Linked DNA regions of Rhinolophus ferrumequinum. The protein of the gene in region 4 purifies or fractionates together with the protein of the main gene of each other region. This does not show direct contact. Links are inferred from orthologs where the notes say so. Each region holds a gene or a part of one and is shown on either strand. Other genes may lie near its edges.

What was found.
Region 1: the proteins of RBX1 (region 4) and FBXW2 purify together in Homo sapiens (affinity purification with western blotting; 3 studies listed by BioGRID and IntAct, with this or other methods). This does not show direct contact. The link is inferred for Rhinolophus ferrumequinum from reciprocal best matches to the Homo sapiens genes RBX1 and FBXW2.
Region 2: the proteins of RBX1 (region 4) and FBXO21 purify together in Homo sapiens (affinity purification with mass spectrometry; 3 studies listed by BioGRID and IntAct, with this or other methods). This does not show direct contact. The link is inferred for Rhinolophus ferrumequinum from reciprocal best matches to the Homo sapiens genes RBX1 and FBXO21.
Region 3: the proteins of RBX1 (region 4) and KEAP1 purify together in Homo sapiens (affinity purification with western blotting; 6 studies listed by BioGRID). This does not show direct contact. The link is inferred for Rhinolophus ferrumequinum from reciprocal best matches to the Homo sapiens genes RBX1 and KEAP1.

What each region holds. Positions count from the first base shown.
Region 1 is NC_046295.1:71,265,230-71,273,041, forward strand, and holds the start of FBXW2 (F-box/WD repeat-containing protein 2), read right to left. Parts: upstream 3,014-7,812; 5' UTR 2,934-3,013; intron 2,827-2,933; 5' UTR 2,718-2,826; intron 1-2,717. Other genes in the region: B3GALT9 (beta-1,3-galactosyltransferase 9), read left to right, coding at 5,959-5,964, 7,217-7,812. UniProt on the Homo sapiens protein: Substrate-recognition component of the SCF (SKP1-CUL1-F-box protein)-type E3 ubiquitin ligase complex.
Region 2 is NC_046308.1:10,891,617-10,898,527, reverse strand, and holds the start of FBXO21 (F-box only protein 21), read left to right. Parts: upstream 1-3,896; coding exon 3,897-4,135; intron 4,136-5,010; coding exon 5,011-5,146; intron 5,147-6,911. UniProt on the Homo sapiens protein: Substrate-recognition component of the SCF (SKP1-CUL1-F-box protein)-type E3 ubiquitin ligase complex.
Region 3 is NC_046301.1:39,782,475-39,789,775, forward strand, and holds the start of KEAP1 (kelch-like ECH-associated protein 1), read left to right. Parts: upstream 1-4,283; 5' UTR 4,284-4,880; intron 4,881-5,225; exon of another isoform or gene 5,226-5,464; intron 5,465-7,005; 5' UTR 7,006-7,052; coding exon 7,053-7,301. Other genes in the region: S1PR5 (sphingosine 1-phosphate receptor 5), read left to right, coding at 155-1,494, 2,592-2,721. UniProt on the Homo sapiens protein: Substrate-specific adapter of a BCR (BTB-CUL3-RBX1) E3 ubiquitin ligase complex that regulates the response to oxidative stress by targeting NFE2L2/NRF2 for ubiquitination.
Region 4 is NC_046293.1:6,875,393-6,882,380, reverse strand, and holds the start of RBX1 (E3 ubiquitin-protein ligase RBX1), read left to right. Parts: upstream 1-3,966; 5' UTR 3,967-4,046; coding exon 4,047-4,124; intron 4,125-6,043; coding exon 6,044-6,122; intron 6,123-6,988. UniProt on the Homo sapiens protein: E3 ubiquitin ligase component of multiple cullin-RING-based E3 ubiquitin-protein ligase (CRLs) complexes which mediate the ubiquitination and subsequent proteasomal degradation of target proteins, including proteins involved in cell cycle progression, signal transduction, transcription and transcription-coupled nucleotide excision repair.

The DNA.
Region 1 (7,812 bases), on a different chromosome or scaffold from region 4:
GAGATACCTGGCAGGAAAGCTTTTAGTGGCCCTGAGGCTGGAACAGACATGACCAGGGACATCCCTTAGAATGGCTTATGATATGTGGGGGAAAAAAGCTCAAGGGCTCAAACTTACCGGAAGTTTAATTTTACAATTAAGGGCAGTTATCAACTTGAGGCTATAATTTCCCACTAGGTGCATTTTTCTCTTTACTCTACCCATACTCATGTTGTCTTGCCCCTTCCCCCACTCTTCAGACCAAACATTAAACTTGCCCTCCTGCCCTCAATCTTAACAATTACAAAACTCTCAGATGGACGATGTGATGGAAAGACTCCTAAATTGGGAGATGGGAGGCCTGGGTCTGCTCTCTGGTTCTGCCATTAACTCCCTATGTTCCCTTAGGCAATTCTCACTATTGTACTGCTTTAAAAGACTACCACTCAGACACTACCTCACTTAGTTCCACAACCTTTGGGAGGTATCAATACTACTGCCCTTCACCAATACATGAGGAAATTTACGGCTCAAGAAGTGGAGGGACTTTCCTAGGTTCCCATGGGAAGCAGCAGGCTCAACATCTCGCCCAGCCCCATCCTCCCCCCAAGAAACAAACCTCCACCTCTAGGTCTTATGAGAGATACGACATTCTGGATAAAACATCAGGAGTGCGTTTTCCTCTCCTCCACCAAGACCTGACCTATTCAAGAGTGAAAGTGATATGGGAGAGTGCCCTCACCACAAAAGTTTTAAGCCTCCCTCACTATAGAAATTTTAAGTCTCCTTTTCCCTACTTTGTAAGCTCCTGAGCGCCTGGCTTTGATTACTCTTCTGATCAGTTTCTGAATCCTAGACTAAAGATTGCTCCTAGCCTGAATCACAGGATGTTTCGCACCCCGGCCTCAGATGATTACTTAAAAGCCTGCAACTTCCCAACCTCCCCAAAGCCATTCCAGACCTAACTCTTGGCCATCCCAGAAACCAAATAGGTTTTCGCATTCCCACAGGCCAGTACACTTGTTGAATGTAATCTATGAAGCCTAATGTTCTTTCCAACCCATTTTGGGCCCAACTCCGGGACTACTGACGCCACCTGAATGACTGGTTGAATGGCCACAGGCTCTAGAGAGCTAAAAGATGTTAATTAAAACCTATTTTTCCTCATTCAGGGGCTTTGGGGATACAGCAGATACCCCAGCAAGACTGCCAGTCCCAACCAAAGAAGCCAACACAGTCTTCCAGACAGATCCCGAGACCCCTTCCTCTCATCTGAGATCAGATAGTTCTGTGAGAGGCGAGAGTTCTGTGAATCCCCCAATGGGTAGGGACAGCTCTACGCCCCTGTCCAACAGGAAGCCGATACAGAAGAAAAGATCTCCTGTCCCTCAACTTCCCATAGCCATTTTATGGGGATCATGTCTCTCAAGGGAAAAACCAGGCAGGCAGTTAGAGACAGGCATCGGGTCTCTACATTACCGCCCAGAAGACCTCCCCTCTCTGTCTGAAACGTCCCCCTTTCTATTGTAAACAAATGAGTACAAGATATCCAACTAGATCAAACCAGCCACTCACACCTGCACAGTTTAAAAAAGATGAGGTAATAGCCTCTTGTCAATCACAGGTGTCAATCAGGCGGTCCCACGCCTGGAAAGGAACAGCCCATTTGAGAGAAAAAGATAAAAACCACCAAGGCCTCATTAGTCGGGGCCCTTGAGCCATTCTCTACTGCTCCGACCGCTTCTATTTCTTTGAAGTGTACTATCTCAAGTGTACTATCTCTTCTAATAAATTACTCTTTCACCACTTTATTTCTGTGTCTCGTTCAATTCTTTGCTCCGGACGCCAAGAACCTGGACTCTGAGCAGAGAAGGACTCCTCTCCAGTAACAAAAGCAATACATTTATTGTTGGGGAGGAAGCTTCACCTTCCCTCTCTTTTGAAGCATAATCAGCAGTTAAAGAGTACTGAGGCTTTGGGGTAAACACACACACACACACACACACGCACACACACAAATACACAGAATATCTTTTCAAGAAGCTGAAAAGTTGCTTCCAGAGAACACTGAAGAGCTGAGGAATAGGGGAAGGGACCCCTTTCTGAATGTAAAACCATGTGAATATACTGTTTAAAACACCCCTGTAGTTTTAAGATGAATTTTAAAAAGCTCTGTAAGAATACAAATAGTGTTTATAAAATAATGGTTCCGCAACTCCACTTGTTGCCGCACGACCCTGGGCAAATCACCTATCTCAAGCCAAGTTTTCTCACTTGGAAAACTGAGTTGTAACCACGAACAGCATTATCTAAAGGGCTTCTGTACACCGCATAATGTACGTAAAGCGTTTAGCACCATACGCGACACCCTGGTACGCCTACGGGAAATGCCAGTGACCAGTATTATTTGGCATGAATATCACCTCTATTTCAAGCAGCACCCCCGCCCCCGTACACACCTGTTTCCACGGTGTACCCACAACTACGGCGCAGTCCCTCACATTAGCACAGCGCTTGTAGCTCAGACACTACCTCTCCACACTTCACCATCTTTCAAACTCATGGCAGCCCTGGGACATCCCTGTTAACTCATTTCGTAGCTAAGGCAACTGAGGCACTAGGAGGCAGTAACTCCGAGATGCAATGTTCCCATCTCTACCATCAACTCCAGATCCCTTCAACCCGTTCGTCGCTCTCAGGTTCCCGGCGCCCGGAGCCGTGTTCCGCGCGGCACTGACCTGAGCGAGCGCCCCGGGGCCCGGGACCTCGCGCGGGGTTCACACCGACTAGGCGCTCTCGGGCCGACAGAGCCTCGCAGCGGCCGGGTCCGCTCCGCAGCCATGGCGTCTGCAGGGAGAAAAAGACCAATGGCCCGAGGCGCGGTAGGTCAGCAGAGGCGCAAGTGCCTGAGCACCCCCTCCCCAACCCGGCCCCGCCTCAAATCCAGCACAGACCTGGACCAGCCGCCGCCGCTCCGAGTCTGCAACCTCACAGGGGAGCGGCTTCCGGTGCTGCTTGCGTCATCTCCGCGCGTCCCTGCACCCGAGGCGCCCGGCGGATGCGGCTGCACTTCCGGCCCCCGCCTGGAGGGGGAAACGGGAGGGCCGGGGGGACCACCGGGGGAGGCGGAGCGTGCGCTGTACGGTCCTCACGACGCTTCGTCTGATGGACGCTTGACCAAAACTTACTTCCACGCTGTGTATCCGAATATGTCCGGCCCATTTGTGTCCCTCATCCAATCTGATCTTGCTCCAACTCTGCGGCACTTTTTGTTATTATCCTCACTTTATGGAGGAGAGGGAGAAGCTAAGGGACGTGTCCAAAGTGTCTTAAGACGTGTCCACTGAACACCTGTTATGTCCCGAACCCTGTTCTAGCGGGTTGGAGTAGTGAACAAAAATCACTGACCTTCTGCGGCTTACCTCCCAGTGGAGGAGGCAGATAAGTAAGACAGGGTGCAAGCTTTAGCAAGTGCTAAGGGGAAAAATTAAACGGGTTGGTGAGGGAAAGAAGAGAGTCGGAAGATCCAGATTCGAATCCCAGCTCTTACACACTCTGGCTGTGCCCATGGCCTAGTTACTTAACCACTCTGGTTTTATTTTCCTTATCTTTATAGCGTTATAGTATCCTCCCTCTCTTATCATTCTGAGGACTAAGGAGATGAAACAAATTTTTTAGTGTCAAAAACTAAAATCATGGGAGATGAAATACAAATTTTTTAGTGTCAAGAACTAAAACCATGTGCTTCCTATGTGCCAGGTACTCATCTAGCCACTTTATGTGTGTTATAGCACTCAATTTCCACAACGACTCTACATGGAAATAGTAGTTACTATTATGACTGCAATTTTAGAGTTGAAGAAACCCAGGTCAAAAGAGGATTTCAACCTCGGTGCTCTTCGGAGCATAAGTTATCCTTGTCTCTCTGGAAGGGCTCATAAACCTCGCGCGCGCGCGCGCGCGCGCGCGCACACACACACACACACACACACACACACTCACATGCATTATACCAGTATCCAATAGGATTCACAGCAATGATATTGTCTACCTGTGCTATCCAATAGGGCAGCCAGTAGCTTCTTGCAGCTATTGAACACTTGAAAAGTTCTTAATGCAACTGTAAGGCTTGCGGCGAGATAATGAGGCTAGTCAGGCGGGGACCATGCCCGTAGCTGACCTAACAGCAACTAAGTAAATAAATTTTTGTATTTAATTTTAATTAGTTGAAATTTAAATAGCCACATGTGGCTTAGGGCTACCATATTGGACAGTTCGGTCCGATTATATAGACATAACATGTAATATAGATAATAAGACAGTCAAACACCCCATTAGTGGTATAGCACAGCCAAAGCTCCAAACATCCTGAGTTTACCTAGGGTAACTGAAACATGGGAAATAAAATCATTGACCATGTAGAGTGGAAGCCAAGTATGGTGTCCTAAAAGTCAGGTCTCAAGGGAGCAAATTGGATGTGGTAGGCAACAGGAAACCTCTGCAGAGTTCTAAGCCAGAGAGTCACTGTTGACAATATTATAAGAAAAATTTTAAAGACATGGGTACACAGATAGGATAACGTCTATGAAAAGGAAGCCACTACTAAGGTAATAAAAAAAATCAAGCACCACTATATATTTGCAGCAAACACTCTCAACCCCAACATGGTAGGAGTTTGATAACTCAAACTGAAAAATTCTAGATGGAGCTGCCCCAGAGACAATATTGTTTAAACTTCTCATGGACAAAGAAACCAAATTCTCTAAGCCCAGAGGAAATCCAGGAGCATAATTTATGGCTCCAAAAAAAGTTGCAAAATAGAATGTTTAAATACCCGTAAGACCTATTTAATCATTAGATTTATTATATGTAAAACTTCCCTTTCACTTGAATGGTTTCTGAAGTTAGATTTTCCCACTTAGTAAACATTCCCCAGATTACGTTGTTGAGAAAGCATAGACACCTTTAAATATAATGAGTTATTCCTAGCCAAATAATTACAAAAACTGCTGTGAATAGCAGGCAGGCGAATCAATATATGAAAAGAAAAAGAGGAAATATAGCCTGCTATGACAACAGAATGCTCGGTACAATTGCTTATGTGATAGAAACATCAAAATATACTGGGTGTTCTTTTCTTAAAATAAACTTGCTGGTAGAAAGAGTGTTTGGGATAATTCCTACACATACATGCTCTAGGAAAATAGCCAACATCAAATGCTCAGTCTCTTCAATTTAGGCTAAAATGGACTACATGTTGTTTTCCATTTTGAGATAAAGTTGCCTGGGAGAAGTAGTTGGATTTAGTAAAGTTCTTGCATAGCCTATATTAGGAATTCAAAATCCTTCCCAATGAGAGATACCCCAAACCTCACCATATGTTTCCTTGGGGAGAAAAACTGTACCCACACAGGATAACATGTATTCCTTGATGTTTGGTGCACGTCTTGCATGTGAATGTACTGGGGGGCAGGAACTACTCCAACTGTTTAGTTTCTCTCTTTCTTTTTTCTATTCCGCCATCTTGATAGATTTCGCTCAACAGTTTAGTTTCTTGAGAGACACTCCAAACACTGTATGATGTTTCTCCTTGTGTGATGGTGCTGTGGAAGGGGCGATGTTGGCTGAACTATTCTTTCCACTCCCATGCATACTTCACCTGGAGCTCAGCCTAAAAACAAGGGGTCAGTTTCAAGAGGTACAGAAGATTGGAAGCATTTGAAGAGGTTCACTTTTTTTACTCTTTGTTCTGGATTCACTCCAGCTGTAACATGATCAGCACTTGCTCTCCTATAGAGCCAGCAGGTATTCTGGGACAAAAGCTCAGGTTGATTGGCCAGAAACCTTATCCTGAAGTCTCAGGCACAAAGTACTTTACCTCAATTGCTGTTAGACTGGCGTGATCCTGAGATACATTTGGGCATAATTTGGCATCTGGACTCAATAATTTCCAAAGCTCTGAAATTGCTCACAGACAACATGCAGGTAAGTTTCTTGTAATCTTTGAAGCATTTGCTATCTATTAAAATAGGCTTTGAGGAGGCTGAAGTTTCTTCTATGTACAAATAATCAGCACTGAGAAAATGGGAAGGAGTTCAGATTAAAATTTCAGGAGTTTGTTTTGTTGTTTTTTTCCCATTGAAAAAACACGGAAAAGTAAAAGATGGGAATCAGGATTCTCTAGTGGTTAAGAGTGAGCTTTGGAATTTGATATACTTGAGTTCAAATCATAGCCCTACCCCACCCCTTCACCCACTGAATGATCTTGGGCAAATTACTGAACAGCTCAGATACTCAGCTTAATTTTGAAGAAAACGTATCTGAAAGGGATATTACCAGGGCTGAATGATTAAGGCGTGTAAAGTGCTTAACTCAGTGCCTGGCCCATGGCAAATATTATGGGATGCTTTGTTGATCAAAGCTCCAATGAAGAGAGATTTAATTCCTTTAATGTTCCCTGGCTTTATTATATTACAATACTGCATATGCTCTTCCAGATGGAAAGTTTCCATCTCCTTTGATGAGGCGGAGTAAACTTGGCAGGGATCCATCCTAGATCTCTGAAGGGGTGCTAGCAGATAGCAGGAATCTGTCCATATTGACAGACATGTCAGATGGATTAAGGGACATTGTCAAAACAGACAATGTCAGAATTCAGTATTAGATTAAGTTGAAAAGTTAAACTGGAAGAATGTAAATGTTTGATAGCAGCCATTGTGCTACAATGAAGTGGTTGCCAACCAAAGCAACCATTTCATTGAAAAATAGCCCTTGACCTTTGTAATTAGAGAAGAAACTGATCCAGGTGCTTCGATTCCAGAAAGAACGTCATGTATTTTCCTACAGGTTTTTAGCACAATGATGCCACTTGTTACTTTATGTCCATGTGTCTATGTCTGATTCCTCTTTGCTCTCCCAGTGTTTTAACACAGCACCTTGTATTATAGTAAGCAGGCTCTCATCCAAACAAGCAACCAACCAACCAACATTTTATTCATTGTCCACTTTATGCCAAACACTGAACTCAGCAGCACTGGAGAAGAGCGAGATATGATGCCTGCTGTGCAGGAGGCCACAATCTGGTGGGAGAGACAGATTCACAAAAATAAATAATAGGAAACACTTAAAATAATGTACAGCTAAGTGCTAGTAAGATAAGAGGTACATACAGTGTTCAGTGGGGGCAAAAACAAATGGAAATGAAGCTTGAATGAATGTGTGCTCTTCTCTTATTTAGGTGACAGTCTGCAGACTTCGGACTCACCAGTGGTGTTTCATTCTGTTTAATGTTATCCTATTTCATGCCCTGCTTTTTGGGGCAGATTTTGTGGAAGAATACTTTCTGCATGCTTTGCCTTATGTAAATATGAAAGTTCTTGAAATTAAAGATAAGGCAAGAAAATTGAACACGGAGCCCCTAAGAAGTAACCTTTCCAAATATTATATCTTGAGCCAGTCAGAAGTGTGTAAAGGGAAGAATATATTTCTGCTCTCTCTCATCTTCAGTAGCCCAGGAAATGAAACAAGACGGAACCTCATCAGGAAAACCTGGGGTAATGTGACCAGCATCCGAGGGCACCCCATTCTCACACTGTTTGCTTTGGGGATGCCTATTTTGGTAACTACCCAGCAAGAGATAGACAGAGAGTCCCATAAGAATAATGATATAATTGAAGGAATCTTCTTGGACAGTGCTGAGAACCAAACCTTGAAGCTCATCACAATGACACAGTGGGCTGTGACTTTCTGTCCTAATGCCCTCTTCATTCTCAAGGTCGAGGAAGAGATGTTCGTCAATCTACCAGGCTTGGTCGACTATCTTCTCAATCTGAA
Region 2 (6,911 bases), on a different chromosome or scaffold from region 4:
GTAGCACCATGAGTATCCCAACTACCAGGTAAGCTTAGGATGAACTAGAAAAGAGTTTACAACAAAGGTATAGTACAGTCAAGTCCTCTCACTTGAGGACAAGTTACCATGAATCTCGAGAGTAGGTATGTAATGCAGTGCTTGGTTGTATATAAAAAGGGTAGGATTTCTCTCTGTCTTTGCAATCTCATCAGCAGATTACCTGTGATGTACCCCACAGTCTGGTTTAATGCTTGTTCAATAAGAAAACTATTCTCCTGGGGCGGCCGGATGGCTCAGTTGGTTAGAGCGCGAGCTCTTAACAAGGTTGCCGGTTCAATTCCCACATGGGATGCTGGGCTGCGCCCCCTGCAACTAAAAATTGAAAACGGTGACTGGACTTAGAGCTGAGCTGCGTCCCCCCATGACTAGATTGAAGGACAACAACTTGCAGCTGATGGCCCTGGAGAAACACACTGTTCCCCAATATTCCCCAATTTAAAAAAAAAAAAAAAAGAAAAGAAAGAAAACTGTTCTCCTTTACTACAGTGGCGGCAAGGATTTTCTAGATTGGCAGGAGATTTTAATTTTTTCCCGACAGCATCTTTGGTCAGAAGACAGGAAGAAAGAATGAGGGCCAGGACATCATTGATAAGAAAGCAATAGTCTTTCCTAAGAATGGCTTACCGATCATTTGTGCAGCTGTGGGGTCTGCCTTGCACCTAACAGGTTGGAAGCTGTTTATCAATGTCTGAGTGTTCTCAGGGCCAGGGCAGAAGCCATGAGAACAGTTGGGAACCACAGTGCAGACGTGGGCTGGGACAGTGTGAGCCGAGACAAATCTAAGAAATATTAGGATCTTTTAGAAAATGGCCTCCCTGTTCCAGAAACAGAGGCACAGAGAACTTAACCTCTGTTGGGCATTTGAACATGGATAGTGCTTCCCAGCACACTTAAGATAAAATCTTAACCATCTTTCCAGGCCCTACAGTATCGGACAGAGGTAAGTACAGTATGTACAGTGGTTGAGAGCCATGCAGCAACAGTAACTGATACATATTTTCATTTAATAGGAAGGTCTATTGTTATCCCCATTTTATAGGTGAGAAAACCAAAGCACAAAGATATTAACCGCTAGGGACCATTTGGATGGTGAGGTGCCAAACGGTGACGAGTTCCGGTTTTGCCGTAATAGATGGAGTGGCACCCTTTCCTAAGGCAGGAACCACTGGGAGAAGACAAGGTAAGTGGGGAGGGGGAACTGTAAGTTCAGTCCCAGATAAGTTCAATTTCAGGGGCCCAAAGGAAATGTCAGGTGAGCAGTTGGCTGGCTAAGCAAGGCTGGACCTCAGAGGAGTGAGCCGGGCCAGAGAGAAACGTGGACATTTTAGCTGAGCTTGGATTGTCATTCGAGATGTCGACAGAGGTGAGAAAAGTGAAAGAAGGGGCCTGTGGCTGTGCCCCATGGTACCCTAACATGTACCATCTGGGTGAGACGGCAAAGGAGACTGACAGGGAACAGCCCTAAAGAGAGGGTAGGGCCACAGAGGCCAAGGTGAGTCAGCATTTTTGAGAAGAAACAGCATGGTAAACAATGTCTGCTGATGCTGTGGAGACGGCAAAAACAAGGCCAGGGAACGCCCACTGAATTCAGAGGCATGAAGGTCCAGGATCTAGCCCAGATCTGCCAGACTCCAGGGGTTACTCTAAATCTTTCTGTTTTAATGACCATAGTAGCAGCAGCTGCAGTAACACTGTACGCCCGCCCCAGCCCCAATTTCCTATTTTGAAGCCCTAACCCCAGGACCTCAGAATGTGACTGTATTTGGTGACAGGGTCTTTAAAGAAGTAATTAAGGTCAAACGAGATCATTAGGGTGGCCCCCTGATCCAATAGGACTGGTGTCCTTATAAGAACAAGAGTTAAGACCCCCACACGCACACCCACACATACCACGTGAAGACACAGAGGGAAGATAGCCATCTACAAGTCAAGGAGAGGCCCCAGAGAAAAACAACCCTGCCCACACCTTGATCTCAGACTTCTGGGCCTCCAGAACTGTGAAAAAATAACTTTGTGTTGTTTAAGCCACTCAGTCTGTGCCACTTTGTAATGGCAGCCCTAGCAAACGAATACAGGCAGTAACATAGTTTCAAACACATTTATTGAGATGAAAGTCACATAACATGAAACTCAATAGTGAATGATTCAGTGGCATTTTAGTACATTCACAACGCTGTGCAACCATCACCTCGGTTGAGTTCCAATACATTTCCATCAATCCAAAATAAAATCCTGAGCCCATGAAGCAGTTGCTTCCCATTCCCCCAAAACATGCTTTTATCAAGTGTGTTCTGTGTGTCAGGCACAGTACACATGCACTTTATATAAACATACTCATTTAATTCTCTCAACAGTCCCAGGAGGCCAACATTATTATTATTATCCCCATTTTACAGATGAGAAACTGGGCCTCAGAAAGGCTAAGTAACTCGCTGTAAACAACTGGTTAGATAACTGTAATCAGCAAATAATTATTGAGAATCTGCTGTGAGCAGAGCCTGTGAAAAGTAACTGGGCATCCGGACAATCCTGATCCTGAAGTTGCTTCTGATCTAGTAGGAAAGATGCAGGTTGAACAGTTATCAATTAAGTAAATAAGTACACGACTGCAAAATGCTGAAAAGGTGCCGTGTCTGGCTCTGGGGCTGGGATGAGAGAAGGGAGGAAGAGAAGAGCAGCCAGAAGGAGGGAGTGCCGGCATAAAGCGCATTCCAGGCAGTGGGAATAGTACACATGTGAAGGCCAGAAGTGGGAGGAAAGAGATCAGCCTGGCTGGTAGGGTTAGTGAAGGAAAGAATGTCTTCAGACAGGCTTGGAGTGGTAGATAGGGGTCTGTGTCTTTGCAACAATGTTAGGGATTTCAGATCCCTAAGGGCAAGAGAGAGAGTCATGGAGGCAAAACAACATCCACAGAAAGTAACAGTTACTAGTTCAATTGTCTCAGGGCATTCTGCTGATTCCAGGTTGGGGAGGAGGAGGTTAGTGAGCCCTTCAGGACAACAGTACTGACAACACATTGTTCTGTACCTGTGTGTCCCCGCTACCTCCCACCCCAACTGGAGTTGGAGCTCCTGAGAGGCAAGCACACCATCTTACTCACCTCTGTATCCCCAGGGGACAAAGCACAGTGCCTGGCACTAAACGTACCTGAGTTTTCTTTTACGAGGGCAGACACCGAAAAGAGTACCCACCCACACCTGAGTGGGAACTTCTGCCTTGAGAATTCAAATCTACCACTTTTTGTCTCTACGACTTTGAACCAGTGACTCCCAACTTTCTGAGCCTTGTTTTCTTTATCTGTAGAATGGGTACAAATATGGTACCTACCATAGAGGGCCCAAATGAGGAGTCCTTGAGGAAGGCATGTAAAGTGCTTGGCACAGCATCCACTCAAGAATATTAAGTTTGTGATCACAGCATGCTAGTTTAGAGTACGGTCAAGCAGAAGTCAAGAGGATCTGGATTAGAATCTAGAACAAGGGAGTCTGAGCAAGTCTGTTTATCTCCCTGAACCTCAGTTTCTCTATCCGTAGCTTGGGGACAATAATGGTTTAAGAGGGTTATTGGGAAGGTTCGACGAGCTCCTGCACAGGAAGCGCCCAGCACTATAAGAAAGATGGATGTTGTCATTGTCATTGTCGGTCCACGGCTCCAAGGCCCACAGCCCAGTTACTTTCCAAAACGCGGTACTTTCCCGTCGCCAAGGCGCAGTCCTCGCAAGTACCCTGGGCAGAGGGGGTGGAGCTACCGGCGTGGGCAGGGCCATCCTGGGGCCCGCCCCTCAAGGCAGGTGGGCGGAGCGAAGTGGGGTTCCCCCGGCGCGCGCGCACAGCGGCCCCAGGTACGCGGACAAGATGGCGGCAGCAGCGGTCGACAGCGCGATGGAAGTGGTGCAGGCGCTGGCGGAGGAGGCCGCGCCGGAGACGGCGGGCCTCAGCTGCCTCGTCAATCTGCCCGGCGAGGTGCTGGAGTACATACTGTGCAGCGGCTCGCTGTCGGCGGCGGACATCAGCCGCGTCTCCAGCACCTGCCGGCGGCTGCGCGAGCTGTGCCAGAGTAGCGGGAAGGTGTGGAAGGAGCAGTTCCGGGTGAGGTGAGCCTGCCGCCCTGGCCGCTGGTGCCCTGGTTCTGCGCCCCCGGGACGCGCGGGCTTGGCTGGCCCGAGCCGCCGCCTCCTGGCCCGCGCGCGGACCCCACCCCGGATGCCACCCCCAGACCCCTTCCCGGGGACCGACAGACAAAGGCCTCCAGGCCGCCGGCCCCTTGGGTCCATGCCGCGCGGACCCTCCGGTGCCCAAATTGCGCATCGGGAAGCGCCCAGCAGCCGGGCCCTCCCTAACGGATGACGACGGTAGTATCGCAGCTCATCCATTCTGCGCGCTTCTTTTGTGCCCGACACTGTGCTAAAATGTTTACACGGATCTGGTGATGCGGTGATCCCCACAGCCCTGAGAGGAAGCGGGCGCAGCATCCTCTGGTTGGTGGTTGAGAAGCACAGATTTCGGTGTGGACCCGGGATAAAATCTGGCCCTGGCATACTCGCCGTATGACCTTGTGGGCAGACTTCCCTTTTTTGAGCCTCGTTCACCGACTTGGCTGATAATTAGACCTACCTTTGACTGTGCTTATTAAATGAGATGTGTAGGGAGCATTTGCCAAAGGGCCCAGCTCTTAGGAGGCGCGCAGTGCATGTTAACTGTCATTGTCATCGCTATTATTGTATTATCGCTACAATTGTCCCCATTTTATAGATGCAATGGAGACACAAGCATTCTTATGGCAATGCCAAGGTCACTCCGTGAGCGAGTGCGTGCGTGTTGGGTGGAGATTGGAACTGGGTCCATCACCAGGGCCCCTTGACCACTAAACCATACTGCTTTCCCTGTTTTCCAAGGCTGCCTTTGATTCCTGCCTGCCTGCCTGCCTTTGAGTCTCTGTTAAGCTGAGGGGGTGTTTTTCTCCTTGTAGGTGGCCTTCCCTTATGAAACACTACAGCCCCACTGACTACGTCAATTGGTTGGAGGAGTATAAAGTTCGGCAAAAAGCTGGGTTAGAAGCCCGGAAGATTGTAGCCTCGTTCTCAAAGAGATTCTTTTCAGAGCATGTAAGAATCTGTTGATGTGGCTCTAAGCTTTTGCCTGGTCGTGGTGTGTGTGTCTGGGTTTGTAGGCATTAGCTCATCCAGCTCTTTTTGATATCTCCCTTTTCAGTGCTCTCACAATCCCTTACTCACTTAGATGGCTGCAAGAGTCATTGTGTCCTTTTCCTCCCATCCAACAACATGAAGCCATTTGTCCCTGCCAGCTTTACTTTTCTAAAGCCAGAGAGAGAATGGGGGTGGAAAAGGAGGGAGGGACCCACAACACAATGTAGAGGGATTTTTTTTTTCTCTTCAGCGTTATTTCTCTTCAAGTGGGTTAGCCATTTTTTTTTTTTTTTGCAGCCTCCACATGATTAGGGGGATCATTGATGATTGAACACTACAAATCTCACCCAGTTGTTTTCCCAGAAGGCTTGACGAAATTAATACGGTTCTTCTCTCTGGCTTTGCAGGTTCTAACCAGTTGTGAACTGCATTATTTGTTAAGCTAATAGGATTAAAAGCTATCTGTAAATCAAAATTATTGCTCCCTCAATTAAATTGTCTTACTTTTATTATCCCTGAAAAGTTTTTTTGTTTTTGTTTTTGTTTTTTAAATATTGCTGAACTGCATGGTTTTGTTTTTGTTTTTACTTAACACAAAGCGTTCACAGGTCCTGATTCTTAACTTTTTGTGACTCTGGAAAATAGTCCACCCCAATATTTTAAATTTATTTCTGATTGGGGGTCTAGAAATACAGCCAGTCTTACTTATTTTATTCTCCAGGTTTACTGAAGATGAAGTCCTATTTTCTAAATTCAATTACTATTACTTAATGGAGTTCATACATTTGAAATATTTTCAAAGCTTGTCAAGTTTTGAAAGGGAACGTTCAAATTTTGAACTTTGGACAAATTTGAATGCATTCTTCTGTGGAGAATAAAATTAGGTATTCCTTAGTGCAATTCATCTCTATAAATAAATGTTAACGTTAGAAGGGAAAAAGTTTATTTTCTACTTGGAAAAGCCATGCCCTAGCTAAAAGCATGCATGATCACAGATGTTAAATAACTGGTTGAAACGTTGTTTGCACACACATGTATTTGGACCAAGTGTTTGATGCACTTGGTCACGGGCTGCTAGTTTGCAACCTCTGCTTCTAGTCCAGCTGGTTTTGTGTGCATTTTGAACAGCCTGTGCCTTTGTCTGATAATAATGAATTGTTATGTTTCTTCCTTAGCTCCCTCTTCCCTGATACCACTGCTTAATTAGAAGTACGTCAAGTACTTTGAACAACGCAGGAGTGTACTTAAGATTGATCTGTGGGTGGGTGACGACTTTGGCTCAGGACCCTTGTATTCCTGTGTTCCCAGCATGCACACAGGTTGACATGAAATTCCCTGGCTACCTTCAAAAAGAAAAGTGGCAGAAGTGTTAGACTTTTAAACTGAGGGGATCTTAAAGCTTATTGGTACCACCACCTTGGTTTACAGAGGAGAAAACATGCAAAACATGCTCGGTGGGTTGAGTTGCCCAAAGCACTAGACTTCTCTCTCCGGCCCCTCCCTTCTTGAGTACAGCATAGCCTGCAGGAAGTAGTTCTTGTGAATTCAGAAATTTTATATTTCTAGTTCTTGTTTTTTTGTTTGTTTGTTTGTTTTCTTAGTTTCAGGGGTACAAAACAATGTAATAGACATTTGCACCCCTCACAAAGGGATAACTCCCCTCCCCCAATCTACTGCCTCTCTGACATTGTATATAGCTGTTACAATTTCTAGTTCTTGTTTC
Region 3 (7,301 bases), on a different chromosome or scaffold from region 4:
TTTCTGTGTGTGGTTGTATTTGTGTGCGTTCTGTCTGTTTATAGTTGACTATGACTCTGGATATCCGTGTTTGTGTGTGAATTATGAGTATCCCTCAGCAACTGTGGGACTGTGTCACCCTGTCCCAATATTATTTCTGTGTGGGCCTGTTTCCATGGCCAGCCCCCTTCCATCCCAAACTCTCCCTGGGCCCCAGTGTACATGTGGGGTGGAGGGCAGGGGGTTAGGGCTCCTTTCCCAGTTCTGCGAGGCACATGCTCGCCTCCGCAGGCCGCGGGGATGGTGCGAGCCCAGCCTGACACTGCACCTGGCCTCTCTGCAGCCTTGGGGCAGGAGGCCCATGGATCCGGGGCTGCTGAGGCCGGCGCCGGTGAGCGAGGTCATCGTCCTGCACTACAACTACACCGGCAAGCTCCGCGGTGCGCGTTACCAGCCCGGCGCCGGACTGCGCGCCGACGCCGTCGTGTGCCTGGCTGTGTGCGCGCTCATCGTGCTCGAGAACTTGGCGGTACTGTTAGTGCTCGGACGCCACCCGCGCTTCCATGCGCCCATGTTCCTGCTCTTGGGCAGCCTCACACTGTCCGACCTGCTGGCTGGCGCCGCCTACGCCGCCAACATCCTACTGTCCGGGCCACTCACGCTGCGCCTGTCGCCCGCGCTCTGGTTTGCACGCGAGGGTGGCGTCTTTGTTGCTCTCGCCGCTTCTGTGCTGAGCCTCCTGGCCATCGCGCTGGAACGCCTCCTCACCATGGCGCGCAGGGGACCCGCGCCGGCTGCTGGTCGCGGGCGCACGCTGGCGCTGGCGGCCGCCGCCTGGGGTGTGTCGCTGCTCCTCGGGCTACTGCCAGCGCTGGGCTGGAATTGCCTGGGCCACCTGGACAACTGCTCCACAGTCCTTCCGCTTTACGCCAAGGCGTACCTGCTCTTCTGCGTACTCGCCTTCCTCTGCATCCTGGCCACCATCTGTGCGCTCTACGCGCGCATCTACTGCCAGGTGCGGGCCAACGCGCGGCGCCTGCGGGCTCGTCCTGGGGCTGTTGGGGGCCTCTCGAGCCGAGCGCGCCGCACGCCGCGCTCGCTGGCGCTGTTGCGTACTCTCAGTATAGTGCTCCTGGCCTTTGTGGTGTGTTGGGGCCCCCTCTTCCTGCTACTTTTGCTCGACGTGGCGTGCCCGGCGCGCGCCTGCCCCGTGCTCCTTCAGGCGGACCCCTTCCTAGGCCTGGCCATGGCCAACTCTCTTCTAAACCCCATCATCTACACGCTCACCAACCGTGACCTGCGCCACGCGCTCTTGCGCCTCGTCTGCTGCGGCCGCCGCCCTTGTGGCCGAGATTGGGGCGCCTCCCCGCGATCCGGGAGCGCCGCTGGGGCTTCGGACGGCCTACACCGCTGGCTGCCCCCGGACCTGGATGTCAGCTCTAGCCGCTCCGAGCGCTCGTCGCCCCTGCGGGACGGGCTGGACATCAGCGGCTCCAATAGCGCGCCCACAGCCGCGGAGACCCTGGTATCCGCACCCGCACCAGCTGCAGACTGACGCCTTCTGGCCCGCCATTGCCCTCCCTAAGAGATGTTTTGCAGACTTTTTTCTTTTTAAATAATAGAATTTATAGGAAAAGCAGCCGAAGATAGTGGAGGAAGAAGAGACACAGGGAAATGTACTTTATTGGCCTTAAGCCCCACAACAATGAACAAAACAGACAAGAATCTCTGCCCTTGTGGAATTGACGTTCTGGTGGGGGCACAGGCAATAAAGGAGTGAAGAAATAATGGAGACAGTTCCAGTGACAATACAGTGATGCGAATGTGGTCAGAGGACGCCTCTCTGCAGAGGTGGTGGTAACTGATGTGAGCTGAGACGTCATTGTCCTGGGAACACCTGAAGCAAGAGCACTTCCGGTGAGGGAACCACAGGTGCAAAGTCCATGAGACTGGAACGTTCCTATGTGCTCTATAAAAGCAAGGGCCCAGGTGTGGCTGGAGCATCAGTGAAGGTGAAGGCGGGAGAAAACAAAGGCAGGAAGATGACAGAGCAGATCACTGTGGGCTCAGGGAAGGACTTTACTTTTGTTCTAAGTGAGGTGGGAGCCATGGAGGGTTCTAGGTAGAGGAGGGTCTTGATTTGGTTCAGGTGTTCACAGATCTCTGTGTGAGGCAAAGGTGTAAGCTAGGAGAACAAGGTGAAGGTGACTGCACTGGCCTGGGGGAGAGATGATGTCAACTCGGATAGATTCTGGAAACAGCGAAAAGAATTACTGAGGAATTGAGTGTGAGAGTGAGAAAGAAAGTAGTCAAGGACAGCTCTGCAGTTTAGAGGGGAGGACACCAAAGACAGGACACCCTAAAATTTGACTCTGGGAGTCTCAGCCAATTCCTATCTGAAACAAGATGTCTTTGAGAGTGGTGTCAGATTCTTCATAAAAAATGAAAATATAATAAAATAATAATAAGAATTACAGCTTATTGTGCCTGGCTAGTCGCCCCACAGTGGTAAGCTCAGGACACACCTTTTTCTCACCCTTACTGCTACCTTGCAAGGTGGGTTTCCTCACCCCCATTTGACAGATGAGGGAACTCTAAGCAGTGAGTACCTTGCCCCAGTGTCTGAGCCAGGATACTTGCCGAGGCTGTCAGGCTCCCAGGCTCAGTCCTTGTGTCTGGCTCCTCCAGAGGGGTCTGCATTCTCGGCCTGGGGCGATACCAGGGCCCCGTTTGTGCCCATAAAAGGCTCCAGACGCCCTGGCCACGGTCCCCGGCTGTCCCTGAGCGCAGTCCTGACCCCTATGCGGCCTGGACCGTTGGGTGGGGCGTGCCGCGGAGTCACTTCGGGCTCAGACTGTGGCCCACCATCTGCCGGGAGACTGCGGAACTGCAGGCAGTCACAAAGCCATGTGTTTTGGAGGCACTCACCCAGCCTGGTGGCCTGAGTTTCCACCTGCCACACTCAGGTCCCAACAGGCTACACGCACGGGAAACCAACCTATTCTTGGAACACAAACACTCAAGCCTCGGGTCACGATCCCAGGACTGGACCCAATTCCCTACCTGCCCTGGTGCCCCCAATCCCAGGTTCCTTTCATATTCCAGGGGAGCCTGAAGTTCACCCCATTGTTTGGTTACTTGATGGCGTGATGGTAGATGTATTCACTTGTTCACATTTTACAAAAGTCAAAAAACACGTCCCCTTCTTGGACATGATCACTGTGGGGATTCCTGGGAAACTTCCAGAGCTATTCTGTGGATAAATGAGCTGAAATATAAATACATCTTCCCTCTTTCTACACAATTTTAGCACTGCTCTGCATCTTGCTTTGTTCACTTAATAGTATATCCTGGAAATTGTTGCCCATCCACAGATTTTTGTATTGTTTGGCTGCCTTAGTCTGCTCAGGATGCCATAACAAACACCACAGCCTCGGTGGCTGAAACAATAGAAATTTCTCACAGTTCTGGAGGCTGGAAGTCCCAGATGAGGGTGCCAGCATGGTCGGGTGCTGGTGAGGAATCTCTGCCTGGCTAGCAGACGGTCACCTTCCTATTGTGTGCTCTCATGGTGTACAGAAAGAGAAAAAAAAGCTCTCTGGTGTCTCTTCTTATAAGGGCACTAATCCCTTCATGGGGCCCCACCCTCATGACCTCATCTAAATCTAATCAATTCAGTCCATATCACTTGTTCTTTTTTTTTAAATTTTTAAATATTGAAGTAAAGTCATACAGCAAATGTCTTGCTCCTTTTCACTGACTGCATAGTATTTCCCAGCATGGATGTGCCACCACTTGTTACACGGAGAGACCCGTGGGTTGAGTCCAATCCTTTGCCTTTATACACAGCGCTGCAAAACACTTCAGTGTACACGTATGTGAGTATACCTTAGATAAATCTCTACAAGTGGCACTACTGGGTCACAGGGCCTGTAGGTTTGATTTTCATATATGAGAGGTTGCCTTAAGGATGGTGCGAGTTTTCCCACAGCTTCCGCCACTGCCAGTATTTGCCAACTATGCTATAGCGTCCCCCGCTGGAGGGGTCCAGAACCGCAGACTCGCGCATCTGGGAAGGCGGCGGAAGAAGGGTACCCCACCACATGCTCCTGCGCGGGTTTAATCCCAGACCCTGAGCAGGGACACTGAATCCTCCAAATTCAGTCTGGAGGCTGGCGGAATTCTTTCTTAAACCTCTTTGCGTTTCCATTATTCACTTAGTTTTCATAGAGGACTCTTTGAAAAATAGCCTTAAATACATTTATTTAAATGTTAACTTTATATCTTAAACAGCGTAAGTGGCAAGTCAGTATTCCATGCCATGAAAAATAGCGATAGTTAACATCTGTTAGGCACTCGCATTCGCATTTAGTGCTCCCGGTAACCAAGGTGCTAGCATTATTACCACCTCAAAGGGAGAAAACTGAAGCATGGAGAAGTCACAGGCCCACCCGCACAGAACCAGAGAGGGTGGCAGAGCGGGCCTTCGAACGCCCCGCAGGCGAGCTCCACGCACCTCTACATTAGAGATAACTAAAAAATATAGACAAAGAAACCCCAGCTAGATAGATAATTCTCGCTGGATCCTGCGGCCGTCGACCGTGAGACCTGCGTTAAAGAGAGAAGCGCAGGTCGTAGAGAGCAGCCCCGCGCTGAGACGACGAAATAGGTCGAATGAAAGGGACAGTGCGAAGGGGTAACGGGCTTTCCTGGCCGGGGCTCCGGGCACCTGCGGGAAGGGCGGAGAATCGCGGCTCCTTTCCCGCCGCGCCCTCTCCCCGCCTCCTTCCCGGGTGTCCCGAGGCCTCCCCTCACCCGACGGTCGAGACCCCTCAGGCTTTGCCTCCTGAGAGCCGAGGTCCCCTGACAGCGGAGGTGCCCGCGGGTCCGGGAGAGCGAAGGTTAGGCGGGAGACGCCCCCGGCGGGACTGCGGCCCCTCGGGTTTCCCGGAAGCTCAGCGCGCGGGTGGCACCACATTGCCCAGAGCCGCCGCCTTGTCCCAGGTATCCCCGCCCCGCGACAAGAGCTACCGAGGCTACGCAGGGGCCGAGGTGAGCGCGGCGGCGGCGGCGGCGGCGGGGAGGAGTGTCCACTGATGCCCGGTGTGGGCAGGGACGCGTCTGGCCTCGAACCCGGTGCCCCGATTCCCGCGGAGCTGACCACGCGGCTAGGTGCGCGGAGAGCTGCGGTCCCTGACCCCGCCGCGCCGCAATGACGAATGCTGTGGTCGCGGCGCTGGGGTTGCGCAGCTTGGCGACAGCCCGCGGGGTGGGAGAGCGGGGAGCGGCCACGGTGCCAACGCCGCCGCCTGAGGCCCCGGGCCGCGGGGACTTTTATTCTGACACGGCAAGCGCCAGGCTCTGCTTAGTCATGGTGACCTGCGCGCGCTCCGCGCCTCCCACCCCCACCCCCACCCCCCAGCGCAGCGATGGAGGCGCCGGGGCCTGGGCGACGGAGGCGGAGCCCGAGCGCGGCCATGGCGGGGTGAGTGAGCGGCCTGCGCCGGGGCTGCGGGCCCGGCGGGCCGGTTGCGCCCCTGCAGTCGTGCCGGGGGGCCGGGGGACGTGGCGCCGCGGGCCCGGTGGTCTGGGGGGTTCCCGTGGCCCCCGGAAGGCCAGGAGGGCGCGGCTCGAGTTCCATCCTTTTGTTGGACGGCGCGATTCGCGGGGTGGCCCGGGAACCACACAAGCCGGACGAGAGGCCTGGGGAGAGCCGCTCGGACGGAGTCCCGGGGACCCCGGGGCGTTTGGGTGCTTGACCTGCGCCCTGGGATTGGCAGTCAAGAGGCCTCGGTGGGGTTACTTCCTTCTCCAGGCCTCGGTGGCGGCTCAGGCGGGGCATGCGCAGTCCCCCACCTAGTGCTTCGTTAGGGGAAATGCCCAGGGGGCACCGTTGACCTGTTGGCCAAAGACCAAGAGGCAGACCCGGGGCCTTGGCTGGGGAGAGGTGGACAAGCGGCGCCCCGGGCCGGGTGAAGGAGGGTGCTCTGGTAGGCACAGTGGCGTGGGCAGTCAGCCAGCCATACCTTACTGACCCATGTGCAGTGCCAGACCCCAGGCTGGACTTGAGGGAGACACATGAGAGGGTGGGCACAACCCTGACCTGCCCTCTGAAGCGCTGGGGCTCAGGGCCAGAGGGACGGGTCACCCCTCAACAGGCAAGCAAAGAGGCTTATTTCAGTTCCTGACAAGTGGGGTGATGGAAATAAAACTGGGAGGTGACTCTATGCTGAGCCCCAGAAAGATAAGGTGGAGAACCTGGGGATCCTCTTGCAGATCCACCCCCCTTCTCCCCGCAGGACCTTTCAAAACACAACTCATGCTCCAGCCCTCCAGACTCCACAGGTTTCATGGAAACCCTCCCTTCAGTAGTCATTGTCTGTCATGACACACCTCCTTGCTTCTCCAGATTGTCTCATTCTGCTTCTGAGCCTTTTGCACTTACTCTTCCCTCTGCCTGGAAAACTAATGACTGTCACAATGTTGTCATTTTCTTCATGATCTCAATTTCTACTTAAGTCGCTTATTTTATTTATGGCCATTTTCCCCTCCCTCCCCCCCCAGGTATCAACTCCAGCACAGTTTTTGTTTGTCTTGCTCACTGCTGTGTCCCTGGTGCCTAGAACAGTGCCTGGTACACAGTAGATGCTCAATAAACGTTGGTGAGGTGAATGAAGGAGTGAATTGGACATGCTCTAGGAAGGGAAGGGCTACCTACCAAACAGAGTGAGCAAAGGGGAGAGGCGGACAGGGACGGAGTCTGAAGGGCTTTGCTGGCCATTGAAGTGTTCGGTTTTACTCTCCGTGCTGTAGACAGGTGTGGGGGGATTCTGAGCAAGGGGGTGACATCATGTGACATGTTTTAAGAGGGACTCTTGGGCTAATGAGGCCATAGGACATTTAGCAAGCACAAATGGATGCAGCTTCACCTGGGCTTGGCAAGGAAAACTGGTGTAGGAGTTGCTTTATCTTAATAAAGGCCTGGCCCCAGGCCCTGCCCCCAGCCCTGTGCTCTCCCTCCTCCAGGCCCCTGAGTGCCAGTGGTGGTGTTGTCCCTTGTCACCTGGAACCCCATGCAGCTGGAATCCAGGCCTAGCAGGGCTGGGGCCCGTACCCGATTCCTACCCCTGAGGTCACAGTGCCCCGACGGGGCAGGGGACACAGTGATGTACGCCTCCACCGAGTGCAAGGCTGAGGTGACACCTTCCCAGCATGGCAACCGCACCTTTAGCTACACACTGGAGGACCACACCAAGCAGGCCTTTGGCATCATGAATGAGCTGCGGCTCAGCCAGCAGCTGTGTGATGTCACGCTGCAGGTC
Region 4 (6,988 bases):
TGGGAGTGCTCCTTGTTACTGCTGGGCAGGGATAGGAGTTCCAGCTTCCCACATGGTCTCTACTGACACTGCAGTGGAGGTGGCCTCATGATTGATGGGCGATGGTGAAAGTCCTAACTCTCCACTAGGTTTCTTCTAACACCACCCCAGCAAGGATGGGCAGGGGTGTCTTGTTACTGCTGGGTGGGAGTGAAAGCCTTGACCCCCTTATGTTCCCTCTTACCACAGGGGTAGGGGGGCTTATCAGCCAGAAAGGATAAAAGTTCCAACTCCCTAATTGGCTTCTACCACCCTGGCATAGGTGTTAGGGCACCTGGTTACAGATTTGTGAGCTGTATAGACTAGGATCCCCACTCAGCTTTGCTGGCATGGGTGGGAGTGGGGCCACAATTTTTCTGTGTTGTTTGGATAGAGTAGAGCAGATATTTTCTAAAAGTTTTCTGTTTGCTTGAAAAAGCAGCCTTTTGTTAGGGCTTTTTTGTTTGCACTTATTAGCATTTTGGGGATTCTAGCTTCTTCATCTCCAAGTCTGGGGGGGATGTATGAGACAATAAGAAAACCCAGGAAACTCACTACCACATCATTCCTCAAATCCTGAGCTCCCTAACTGGTCTGCCTTCTCTCCATCTCAAAGTCTTCTTATTTGTTATTGTTAAATTTTATTTTATTTTAAATATGTCCAGGGATTTCAGTTGTACTTAGAGGGAAGATAGAGAAAAGTATGTCTACTCCATCTTCCCAGAAGTGGAAGTCCTGTCTAACCCTTTTTAAAGGGCATATCTGACCATGCGACTCGCTTGGTAAAACCCTTCAATGGCTTCCTATCACTAAAACCAAAACTCTTTGCATGGATCTTTTGAACAGCCTTGCATGACCTGGCCCCTACCAGTGGTAAATGTTTAACAACCAATTCTGTGTGGTAGGAGGAACCCTGATTTGTAGTGTTTGCTGATTTCCATGGTATAAATACTACTATTATGGCCAATTTTAAGCTACCAACATGATGTTGCGGAATATGGAAGAGATGCTAACTATTGACTCTTGAATATTATTGCAGACTCATTTCACTGTTTCTCTTTATATTCCATCCATTCCAAGCTTCTTTACCAGTGCTCTATACGAGTACATACTCCAGCTTCCAGCCCCTTCTACTGTTGGCTCTACCTGGAATGCCACCTTCTCCCATATCTGTTTGTGTGAGTGCTGAGCCAACTTACATCAGCTTACAAGAGCAATTGTTAAACTTTCAGGAACTTTGAAATCTGGCTGCTTAAGATACAAATCAAGGTTTGGGTTTTTTTTAGCTGATTTTAAAACATTTACCAGCATACCACTGCTTCCACCCCTTTGTCTGGCTCATCCTTCAATCTCAAACCATTTCCTCTAAGAGGACTACCTCCTAACCCTTAGATTTGCTTTCTATTTCACAGTACCGTATACTTCCCTTTCCTAAAACTCACTGGAATTATCATTAATTGACTCACCTCTCTACTACCACACCATAAGTTGAATGATGAAATGGGGCCTTTTGCAAAAACTTAAAATATCAGATTACTTTTTATATAGACGATCATGGTGTAATTGACACACAGCAGGTTCTGCAGATATTTTAGAAATATTTGTTGAATGGACAGATGGCTGAAAGGAATAATACTAAAGTAAAATCATAACCTATTGCATTGTAAACTGAGTGAAATTATGAAGAATAAGAATCTGTATGAAACCTACAAAAAGTTTTCGTAGGCTTATGCAGCAGAATGTAGTATACAGAATGTTATGCCAATTGCCACAGCAAGGCAAATCTCCAAAAGAGATAGCAGATGAGGTTTTCAGAGCTTAATGGAACCACCCCTAAGATCATACATCTTCCCATCATAGCTATATACAAATCAGACAACTTGGAAATTGTTGCTGCTTCCTCTCTTTTATCCTTACAATCCCTTTTTCACAAAGCTTTAAAACTTTTACAATCTTTAAGATTGTCAGTTAGTCCCCTCCCATAATTTACTCCTCCAATATCTTTCCATAACATCTGCAATAAAATCCGTATCTAATCTGGCCCTGCCTGCTTGTCCAACATCTCTTACCACACTCTTCTTGCTCTAAAAGCTTCAAAATTATTCATTCAAGACATACTGAGCACCTACAATGTACCAGGCACTGTTCCAGTTTTTGTTATCAATAAACAAAACAATCAAAATCCCCTCTATTAGTAAGGACATACAAAAATAAACCCAAAAAATGAAAAAACTATGATAGAAAGTACATGTAGCATTTTTTTTTAAAGCATCGTAAAATGAATGGGTAGCAAATCATGCAAGGCCTTTTAAGCCATAGTAAGGACTTAAGCTTAAATGTCACTCCTCATAGAGGCCTAACCCCCCAATTTAATGTTGCTTCCGACTCCCATCAATCTCATAACCTTGTTTTGTCTTCTTCACAGCGCTCGATACCAGAGATTTTCTGATATATTTATTCATTGACTTGTGTATTATTTCCCTAGTAGGAATTTGACTCCTTTTATCACTGAATCTCTCCTGTTTATAACAGGACCTGGTACATACTCAATGAATTTGTTGAATGAAGCATAAATATGTCCTCAATAACTTACTATGGTTTTCTAGTATTCCTATAGGGGCCTTTAGGACACAATAAATAGGTGACAAAAATCTTAACATGGAATTAATTTAACAAAACTTGAGCTAAGAAAAACTTTGTAGGGTTCCTATAATGCTTTTAAGGTCTCAATTTTTCTCTAAGTCTGGTTAAAGCTGTAATGTTTTCACGGATTTGATATTCCTGTTTATGACTACAGCAGGGAAACAAATCGCAATTAGTCCCGTTTAGCAACGGAGTCAACACTCCATTGCGCTCCAATTTTCTTTTAAGAGAAAATATGAGATTTCAAATAAGCCAATGTAAGAGTTAAGAGTGACCTAAATTATATTTCTGCAAGAGGAGAGAAGCAAAAGGGATTATCTAGATCAGATGTCCGGTCTAGAAATGCGAAGGTAACAAAATACAGGTGCTTTGGCTGGGAAAGAATGACCGGGAAGAATAAATAGCTGAATGCCTCATACAACAAATTCAAGAAGTACTGCGACCACAGATCCAAGCACAGTGCTAGGAGCGGGGAAAAGGACCAAAATTAGGGAGGAAGGACCCCACAGTTAGATGACCAATTGGGAATGGGAAATGTGTGCTGAACTGCGTGAAGTTGAAATCGTGTACCTTAACCAAATACCATTCTGGGACGGACTGGTATTTCGGGCGGGCTGGAAATGGCACCTCCCAGGCTCCCAAGCCTCCTTCTTCCACCTATTTCAGGTGGGCAGCTGAAGGCAGGGCTGGGGAATGCCTGCACAGTTTGGCCCTGGGGAGAACATTCGGGGAGCTCCTGTCTCCCGGTCGAATCCTGATCATTTCCTGAACTGGACTCAGAAAACCAAACGGTGCCCTGGGCCCCTGATCTCCCCAGCCTCAGGCCTCCCAGGGAAGCTGTATCGCGAGCCTGTATCGTTAGCGGGTGAGGATTTGCGAACCGCCAGTGTGCGGACTCGGGTTTCCGCAGCAGGAAGGGGGGCGTCCACCCTAGCCTCTTCCCAGACTGAACGCAGTGGAAAAGCCGCCGGCATGCCAGCAGCGCGGCGGCCGGAGAGGCGGGGCGGGGCCGGGGCGGCAGGTCGCAGCCGCGGCGGAGGAAGCAGCCGCCGCCCAAGCTGAGGGAGTGTGGCCGGGGGCTTCCCAGGGGAGGGCGACGAGAGCGAGTCCTTTCGAACGTTTCCACCCGGCTCGCTCACGTCTACCCTGCCCCGCCCGGCCCCGCCCCAGCTGCTCCGACCGCCGCCTCCTCCCCCGCCGACGCAAGAGGGAGGGTGACCTGCGCCAGCGCCTTTAAGAGGCGTGGCCTCATGCTCCGCCCCCACCTGCTCCTCGCGCGCCAGTAAGGGATGGGGGGCGGGAGGAGGTGCCGGGGCGGGAGGGGGAGCGAGGCGTGCGCTGGTGCGCAGGCGCAGTGGCCGGACGACGGACCGTGTGTTTCCAAAATGGCGGCAGCGATGGATGTGGATACCCCGACCGGCACCAACAGCGGCGCGGGCAAGAAGCGCTTTGAAGTGAAAAAGGTTGGGTCTCGCCAGCGCCTTCCTCAGGGAAGCTAGAGAGGCGCGGATCTGGCTGGCAGGCCCGTGGATGACCGAGGCGCGGAGGAAAGGGCTTCATTTCAGGGCGTTCCTGGGACCGGGTACCACGAAAGGAAGCCGGAGGGCGGGTCTTAGGGTTGATCGGCATGCCTGCGGTCCACTGTCAGTGGCGCTATTGGTTTCGCTAAGAGGCTGAAGGGCCAATCACGGATGTGCTTATTGAGATACGCGGGGTTGCGACTTGGCTGCGGGAGCCAAGCGCCTGAGCTGTCACTGGAGTGGTGGAGGGGTGGGGAAGGAGAGGGTGGGGTGGGTAGAAGGCGGGGAGTCGGAGCGATGCGGTGGGTGGAGGATGGGGCAGTGCGGCGAAAGCCGGGAACCTGAGGTCCTACCGCATTGGAGGCCTCTGAGGAGATAGGCTGGTGATCTCCCTGCCCCGCCCCTCTACGAACCTCGGGGTCTCTCTCTGTGAGGGACCCAGACCCGGTCCTAGCCTAGTCGAGGCGTCCATTATCATTAACCCCCTCTGTGTCCCGAGCCCGGCCGAGTTAGTGTCTTGTTTTGAGTGTAACTCTTGGCTCTTTTGAGAGATCTGTTGATTGTCACACAAGCCGCCCCAGTCATGTGGTCATATCCAGAATCCCCCTCCAAAAAAAAAAAACAAACCAAAACACCATGTTGGAATTTGTTATAAAGAAAATGCGAGCCCAAATCTTGTTTCATTGAGTGAGGGTTAAGTACTAGTTGCGAACGACCTGCTAAAAGTGGGATAGCGAAAAATGTGGAACGTGTCTTTTTGCATGAAATGCCTTATCGTGGTTTCCTAACAGGAGGAAAGGTGTCGATTTCCACTTAAGATAAAATAAATCTGTTCAAAATGAAGATTCTGAAATAGGGGCGATGTTATTCCTAGAACATCTGGCTAAACACTGGCAATATTCCCCCTCCTAGTTGATTTTTGGTGTTTCATTGTGGGCACTGCGTGTTCAGTTACAATCAGCAGCCATATTGAATAATAATAGAAGTAGGATTTTTTTCCTCCAAGTTGAAGCTGTCTGGTAAAAAGTGCTGAAGAAGTTACTAAGACACTGAAAATTGGATTGAAAGAGATGACAGTTTGGGAAGTGGCATCAAATTAGTGGATGAAAAGGAAGTTTGTGAATATTTATAATTGCAGAAGCCAGAAGGTTGAATTACTTAAATGCCACTTTTAGATAAACTCCTACTGGAATTAACTATATATAAGAGTCTTCACATGAAAAGTTGAGCCCATCAGTTTATTTGATGGTAGGAGCTAAACAAAATTCTAGTGAATTCTAGAATTTGTTAGGAAGTAATCTTGTAAGACTTAAGTGATGACCTTGTTCTGTGTACTGACACTGGGTAATTATTTTATCCAGCTTATCCCACGATTACCCATTTTATGATCCAATCATCATCTTAGTTCATTCTGTTCCTAGGGTTCACCTCCCCACTCATGCTTGCGTTGAAGAGCAGATATTTATTTATGCAGAAATTGAGCTCTCCTGCAACTGCCAGGGAACCTGCACAATAATTTGACTCTACTCATTAAACCTGAAATGAGCACTTACAAATTATTCCTGATTTGCTTACATTGATATAGCTGACCAGATCATTTTAAGCTGTAGGAAAAAGTAAAATTAGAAGATGACACATTAATTTCTGTGTTCATGTACTCAGCTGTTTGGGAAATGGGTGAGCATATGTATAGCTTACTATTGCCATCTAATGCAATAAATAAGAAGAAAGTAATATCCAAAGACTCTTGTTTGGTGGTCCCTGTGGCCAAAGAGATGCTAACTTGCCACTGCAGCATGAAATCCTAGAGTGTGTGTATGCGTATGTGTATGACTGCATCGTGCCCCTTTTTCTTTTTGCAGTGGAATGCAGTAGCCCTGTGGGCCTGGGACATTGTGGTTGATAATTGTGCCATCTGCAGGAACCACATTATGGATCTTTGTAAGTAAATGGGGGGGGGGAGGGATAATTGAGAAGGTTACAGAGATTGTGGCTTTTCTGATGGTCACCAATGTTATTTATTCTTCACAATGAAATACAAAGCACAGTCAGAGCACTTGAGGTCTTCTGCATCTAGTCCATTGGTATGTTTGAAACAGATTAGTTTTTATGATGTACTGGAGGCATACCCATCTCTCAGAATATATCTACTCAATCTAAAGATGGCATAGTCACATTTACAGTGAATTGTGGACCCAGAGGCATTGTGGATCATTCCTTTGTATTTCCCATCTCGGACCCAAACTCAAAGGCAAAAATGGTAAACTTTGAGCTAAAATATTCTATCCGAGTTAGTTTGTGCTCAGCAAGATTTATAAAGAAAAGCCTAAGAAATAAGGATTTTGCATGTTAGCCCGATGTGTAAAAGGACATCACTGCCAACATCTAAATAGGCAATTAATTGCACTAAAATTTCATTTAAATCTCCACATACTCCGTCACACGTGGTGGTCAACACATGGTGAACTTGATAGCTATTGACAGACTTAGTATCCATATAGCAATAGGGGCAAGAAGGTTGACCACATTAGAAAAAGTTGAGATTACTTTTTCATCCAGGTATTAAAATGGTTTTCTATTGAGATCAGAAGTGGGGCAAAGAAATGTCAACTTTCTAGAATTAAAATTGTAGGCACTTAGTTTTAAATCACTCATCTACCTCTCCAGCATCATCGTGAGCCACTCTCCTGCTCAGTCTAGTAGTTAGTTGCTCTGGCTCTCCATTCTTGAAGTGTCCATGCTCTTTTTTATTCCTGTTCCTTCTGCCTGGAATATTCTCCACCTCTTGTCCCCCTATCTTGGTCTAA